Linked DNA regions of Saccharomyces cerevisiae S288C. Each later gene encodes a partner of the first gene's protein in a complex. Each region holds a gene or a part of one and is shown in the gene's direction. Other genes may lie near its edges.

Region 1 (3,929 bases):
TCTAAGTACTGAAAAGATAGCGTCGTTTTATACCCAGTATTTCAGGAACTCTAATTCGGTAGTCGTGAATCTTTGCTCACCAACTACAGCAGCAGTAGCAACAAAGAAGGCCGCAATTGATTTGTATATACGAAACAATACAATACTACTACAGAAATTCGTTGGACAGTACTTGCAGATGGGCAAAAAGATAAAAACATCTTTAACACAGGCACAAACCGATACAATCCAATCACTGCCCCAGTTTTGTAATTCGAATGTCCTCAGTGGTGAGCCCTTGGTACAGTACCAGGCATTCAACGATCTGTTGGCACTCTTTAAGTCATTTAGTCATTTTGGAAATATCTTGGTTATATCATCACATTCCTATGATTGCGCACTTCTCAAATTTCTTATTTCCAGGGTGATGACCTACTATCCACTAGTGACCATCCAGGATTCTTTGCAATATATGAAAGCAACCCTGAACATATCCATCAGTACATCCGATGAGTTCGATATTCTGAATGATAAAGAACTGTGGGAGTTTGGCCAAACCCAGGAAATTCTAAAACGTAGGCAGACGAGCTCAGTCAAGAGGAGATGTGTCAATTTACCAGAAAACTCTACGATCGATAACAGAATGCTTATGGGTACCACAAAGCGAGGTCGCTTTTGAAGAGCCCTCGGTAGCATAACATTTTTAATTATTACGACTGTTTTTTTTATTCATTATGTAGAGATAATTAAATGTTATAGATGCTCTATACTCAAACGGTGGAAGAAAAACAGCGAAAAAAAATAACCGATACCCCCTTTTCGAATACAAATGCTTGTATATTCAATTATGAATTATTTTTTTTTTTTTTCATTTCTTATATTATTTTTTGTTCGAGAATCACTTTTTCAAGATGGTAACAACATCTTCGTCTTCCAAAATGTGACTCAACCCCACGTATTGAGGTTGATGTTTGACACTGCTACCGTAAACCAGAGCATTTCTAAAGTCGTCCACTAAAGATTTATGAATTTGGTTACAAAAATCCTTGACACTGCAACGGTCTGATCTTAGCACCACAGGGTCGGTAAAATCTGGTATTTGGCCCTTTGGTTTAGTGTAAATACGGACTAGATTTAGTCTATCCCACATGACTTGCAACAGCTCGTCCAAGTTCCAATCTTGACCAGACGAAATAGGCACGGCATTAGGAATTCGGTAAAGTAATTCCAATTCCTCTATTGACAGAGAATCAATCTTGTTTAACACATAGATGGCAGGCATGTATCTTCTTGACGAAGCTTCCAAAACATCAATCAAATCATCCACAGTGGCATCACACCTGAAGGCAATCTCAGCGCTATTTATTCTGTACTCGCTCATAACGGCTCTGATTTCGTCATTCCCCAGATGGGTCAATGGGACTGTGTTTGTGATGGAAATACCACCTTTCTCTTTTTTTTTGATCAAGATATCTGGCGGAGTTTTATTCAGACGAATCCCCACACCTTCCAGTTCCTTCTCAATGATTTGCTTATGATGCAAGGGTTTGTTCACATCTAGGATGATAAATAACAGGTTACAGGTTCTTGCCACGGCAATAACTTGCTTACCTCTACCTCTACCATCCTTAGCACCATCGATAATACCAGGTAAATCCAACATTTGGATCTTGGCACCTTTATAACGAATGACACCGGGGACGGTAACCAGGGTGGTAAACTCGTACTCAGCTGCTTCAGACTCAGTACCAGTCAACTTGGACAGTAATGTAGATTTCCCCACCGACGGGAACCCGACAAACCCCACACTGGCCACACCAGTTCTAGCCACATCAAAACCAATACCAGCACCACCACCGCTGCCGGATGAAGCACTGGTCAACAATTCTCTTCTCAGTTTGGCCAGCTTGGCCTTCAGTTGACCCAAATGGAAAGATGTGGCCTTGTTCTTTTGGGTACGGGCCATTTCATCTTCGATAGCTTTGATTTTTTCAACTGTAGTAGACATTTTGCTCAATCAACAACTCTACGCTTGCACCTACTGCATCTAGCTTCAAACACTTCCTATCATTGCGCCCTCATCACACCGTAATATCCCATCTTAAAAGTGGAAAACTCTTATAGCTCATCGATGAAAAAAACGGGCCCTCGTCGCTTGTGATGTGAAAAAATTTTTCAAGCTTTAAGCCCATTGAAAGCAAGAGATCTTGCACTAGAATAAGTGGCAAAGGTGAACTTTGAGGGGATAAGAAGGGCAATCAGGAACATCAGATAAGTGAAAGATGGCGAAAAAGAGTAAAAAGAACCAACAGAACTACTGGGATGAGGAATTCGAAGAAGACGCCGCCCAGAACGAAGAAATCAGTGCCACGCCAACTCCAAATCCAGAAAGCAGCGCAGGTGCAGATGACACTTCCAGAGAAGCAAGTGCAAGTGCTGAAGGTGCTGAGGCCATTGAAGGCGACTTCATGTCTACTTTGAAGCAATCGAAGAAGAAGCAAGAAAAGAAGGTTATTGAAGAGAAGAAGGATGGTAAGCCTATACTAAAGTCCAAGAAGGAAAAGGAGAAGGAAAAAAAGGAAAAGGAGAAGCAGAAGAAGAAAGAACAAGCTGCCAGGAAGAAGGCCCAACAGCAAGCTCAAAAGGAGAAGAACAAGGAGTTGAACAAGCAAAATGTTGAAAAAGCTGCTGCTGAGAAGGCTGCTGCTGAGAAATCCCAAAAATCTAAAGGTGAAAGTGATAAACCAAGTGCTAGTGCTAAGAAGCCAGCCAAGAAAGTACCTGCCGGTTTGGCTGCTTTGAGACGTCAATTAGAATTGAAGAAACAACTTGAAGAACAAGAAAAGTTGGAAAGAGAGGAAGAAGAAAGATTGGAGAAAGAAGAGGAGGAAAGATTGGCCAACGAAGAAAAAATGAAGGAAGAAGCTAAAGCAGCTAAAAAGGAAAAGGAGAAGGCAAAGCGTGAAAAACGAAAGGCTGAAGGTAAGCTATTGACCAGAAAGCAAAAAGAAGAAAAGAAATTATTGGAAAGAAGACGTGCCGCTTTATTGTCTTCCGGTAACGTCAAAGTTGCCGGTCTGGCCAAGAAGGATGGAGAAGAAAACAAACCAAAGAAGGTTGTTTACAGCAAGAAGAAGAAGAGAACAACCCAGGAAAACGCCTCCGAAGCCATTAAATCTGACTCTAAGAAAGACTCGGAAGTTGTACCTGATGACGAACTCAAAGAATCCGAAGATGTTTTGATTGATGATTGGGAAAATTTGGCTCTTGGTGATGATGACGAGGAGGGAACCAACGAAGAAACGCAAGAATCCACCGCAAGCCATGAAAATGAAGACCAAAATCAAGGCGAAGAAGAAGAAGAAGGAGAAGAAGAAGAAGAAGAAGAAGAAGAAAGAGCACATGTGCATGAAGTTGCCAAAAGCACACCAGCAGCTACACCAGCAGCTACTCCAACTCCATCCAGCGCTTCTCCAAACAAAAAAGATCTTCGTTCCCCAATTTGTTGTATTTTGGGTCATGTCGATACCGGTAAGACTAAATTGTTAGACAAAATCAGACAAACCAACGTTCAAGGTGGTGAAGCTGGTGGCATCACCCAACAGATTGGTGCCACTTATTTCCCCATCGACGCTATTAAGGCAAAAACTAAAGTTATGGCTGAATATGAAAAACAAACTTTTGATGTCCCAGGTCTTTTGGTTATTGATACCCCAGGTCACGAATCCTTCTCTAACTTACGTTCAAGAGGTTCTTCATTGTGTAACATCGCAATTTTGGTTATTGACATTATGCATGGTTTGGAACAACAGACTATTGAATCTATCAAACTGTTAAGAGATAGAAAGGCTCCATTTGTCGTTGCCCTAAACAAAATTGATAGATTATATGACTGGAAAGCCATTCCAAACAATTCATTCAGAGACTCCTTTGCAAAGCAATCAAGAGCT
Region 2 (3,291 bases), on another chromosome or scaffold:
CAAACTTGTAACAGATTGCTTGCTGCGGATGTCTCTAATGATGAAGTCAAATACCATTGCAATATTGTTTCCGTGATGTATGCGCCAATTGGTATTGATTATTACCATTTGACATCGCAGTTGAGAAATGGTTCTGTACTTGAATGGCGCCAATTAATTAAAGAAAGATGGCGTAATAAAAAACTGATTGTTTGTCGCGATCAATTTGACAGAATTAGAGGTCTTCAGAAAAAAATGTTAGCCTACGAGAGGTTTTTGATAGAAAACCCTGAATACATCGAAAAAGTTGTTTTGATCCAAATCTGCATCGGTAAGAGTTCCGATCCTGAGTACGAACGTCAAATTATGGTTGTCGTTGATAGAATCAATTCTTTGTCTTCGAACATCAGTATCTCTCAACCAGTGGTCTTTTTGCATCAAGATTTAGATTTTGCTCAATATTTGGCATTGAATTGTGAAGCTGACGTTTTCCTTGTGGATGCGCTGAGAGAAGGTATGAATTTAACATGTCATGAGTTCATTGTCAGTTCATTCGAAAAAAATGCGCCTCTATTATTATCTGAATTCACTGGTAGTTCTTCTGTCCTAAAGGAAGGTGCCATCTTAATAAACCCATGGGATATAAATCATGTAGCACAAAGTATCAAGAGAAGTTTAGAAATGTCTCCAGAAGAAAAAAGGCGTAGGTGGAAAAAATTATTCAAATCTGTTATTGAACATGATTCGGATAATTGGATTACAAAGTGCTTCGAATACATAAATAATGCTTGGGAGTCCAACCAAGAAACGTCTACTGTTTTCAATTTGGCTCCAGAAAAATTCTGTGCTGATTACAAAGCCTCCAAAAAGCATTTATTTATCTTCAAGATTTCAGAACCTCCAACGTCCAGAATGCTATCCTTGCTAAGTGAATTGAGTTCAAATAATATAGTTTACGTTTTGAGTTCATTTACAAAGAATACATTCGAAAGCTTATACAATGGTGTTCTAAACATCGGATTGATAGCGGAGAATGGTGCCTACGTAAGAGTTAATGGGTCGTGGTACAACATCGTGGAAGAGCTTGATTGGATGAAAGAGGTGGCAAAGATCTTTGACGAGAAAGTCGAGAGGTTACCTGGTTCATACTACAAAATCGCTGATTCTATGATCAGATTCCATACAGAAAACGCTGATGATCAAGATCGAGTCCCAACTGTTATTGGGGAAGCCATTACGCACATAAACACCTTATTTGATGACAGGGATATTCACGCTTATGTGCATAAGGATATTGTCTTCGTTCAACAAACGGGGCTAGCCTTAGCCGCCGCTGAGTTTTTGATGAAATTTTACAACAGTGGCGTCAGTCCTACTGACAATAGCAGAATATCTCTATCAAGAACATCCTCTTCGATGTCCGTCGGTAATAATAAGAAGCATTTCCAAAACCAGGTAGATTTCGTTTGCGTTTCCGGTTCGACATCACCTATTATTGAACCATTATTTAAATTAGTGAAGCAAGAGGTTGAAAAGAACAATCTAAAATTTGGTTACACCATTCTTTACGGTAGCTCAAGATCCACTTATGCCAAGGAACATATCAATGGTGTCAATGAACTTTTTACCATCCTTCATGACTTGACAGCCGCCTAAGCGATCATTTTCCCTCCTGTACTTTCAAAATGTTCTCTTTCTTATTCTTCAGTTATAGTTTTTACGAGCGATTATAAATATAAAAGTACGATCTTCCTTTTACGTATATATGTATATACAGCACGATAAATTACAAACAAGTTTCAACTAACAATGTGGGTTATTTCTCATATTGTTAATGAGATCTTATAATAATCATTATACACGAACGCTATTTTTCACTTTTTTTTCATTTTTGTTTTCGCCGCAAGAAGTAATAGTGAAAAATTGAAAAAAGCTTCAATTTTAGTTTGCTGAAAGAAACCTTTACTTATGTAGAAGGTGTACTTGCAAAAGCACTAGTGTAATATAGAGCAAAGTTCATCATGGGTAAGAAAAACACTAAAGGTGGTAAAAAAGGTAGAAGAGGTAAGAACGACTCTGACGGTCCAAAGCGTGAACTTATTTATAAGGAAGAAGGCCAAGAATATGCTCAAATCACCAAGATGTTGGGTAATGGAAGAGTCGAAGCCAGTTGCTTTGATGGTAATAAGAGAATGGCCCATATTAGAGGTAAGTTAAGAAAGAAAGTCTGGATGGGACAAGGTGATATTATTCTTGTTTCCTTAAGAGATTTCCAAGATGACCAATGTGATGTTGTCCACAAATATAATTTAGATGAAGCCAGAACACTGAAAAACCAAGGTGAACTTCCTGAAAACGCCAAAATTAATGAAACAGACAACTTTGGTTTCGAATCTGATGAAGACGTTAACTTTGAATTTGGTAACGCTGATGAAGATGATGAGGAAGGTGAAGATGAAGAACTTGATATTGATGACATTTAATTTAGGCCGAACAAGTGTCCTCAATATCTTCTAATGCGTCAACTATTCATAATTTATTTATAATTATATTTTTTAGTCCATCATAGGAAAGGGTTTTCTTTTTACTATATCGAAATACTTATATATAGATATCAAAAAAAGAATAAAAATGAAATACCTCAAGAAGTCGTTTAATCTTCCTTCTAGGGTTTCTTTCAAGCGGACGTTAAGGAGACGTAATAAAAATTTTCTCGCACGAGAAATTTGAGCAAAGAGCACGTTGCGAATACGTTTTATCCATTCATCGTTTTTAATTTATTACCTTTTCTTTCGATGCTGTTTATTGTCACTCATGAGTGCTTCCGTTTTTTCCATCGAAAATTTACTTTTTTAGACTGAAAAGAAAATGAAAAGTTAAAATAAATTTTTACCAGAAAATGCTCATCGCAGGAAAATGACAATACTATTGTGAGCTTCCCGAGGTACACATTACTTCATACTGAAAGTTTCAAAAAATGACTACGGATGTGCAATTTTCAAGTCAGGAAATCGAGCTTTTCCGTGTCAAAGAATTCTTGATTGCTAATAATCCAGCAAAGATCAACAATGAAAATAAGGATGCTGTTTTAACTCAGATTGAGCATGATTTCAGGTATTTAATACAGTATATCAAGGACGGATTACCGAACTTAAATGAGTCCACAAGGTTAATTTTTCCAGATACCTTTTCGATCTGTTTACTAAGGAGCCATCAAATAATTGCAAGCAAAAAAATTGACTCTCAAGAATTTTTATCGGCGGTAAAAGAGCAACTCTTAACTGAAGCGAATGCAAATATTATCTTTGAATA

The links.
Region 2: the proteins of FUN12 (region 1) and TIF11 are in contact, whole or in part, in a crystal structure (PDB 3WBK), measured with the Saccharomyces cerevisiae proteins. Residues at the interface, in NP_009365.1 of Saccharomyces cerevisiae: Arg969, Asp973, Lys976, Phe980, Trp989, Leu990, Lys993, Lys996, Glu1002; in NP_013987.1 of Saccharomyces cerevisiae: Asp145 (codon at 2,433), Leu148 (codon at 2,442), Ile150 (codon at 2,448), Ile153 (codon at 2,457).

What each region holds. Positions count from the first base shown.
Region 1 is NC_001133.9:74,166-78,094, forward strand, and holds the start of FUN12 (translation initiation factor eIF5B), read left to right. Parts: upstream 1-2,261; coding exon 2,262-3,929. Other genes in the region: YAL037W (uncharacterized protein), read left to right, coding at 1-658; GTP-binding protein RBG1, read right to left, coding at 878-1,987. UniProt on the Saccharomyces cerevisiae protein: Plays a role in translation initiation. Translational GTPase that catalyzes the joining of the 40S and 60S subunits to form the 80S initiation complex with the initiator methionine-tRNA in the P-site base paired to the start codon.
Region 2 is NC_001145.3:788,549-791,839, reverse strand, and holds TIF11 (translation initiation complex factor eIF1A), read left to right. Parts: upstream 1-2,000; coding exon 2,001-2,462; downstream 2,463-3,291. Other genes in the region: TPS3 (trehalose 6-phosphate synthase/phosphatase complex subunit), read left to right, coding at 1-1,635; tRNA methylation protein TRM732, read left to right, coding at 2,957-3,291.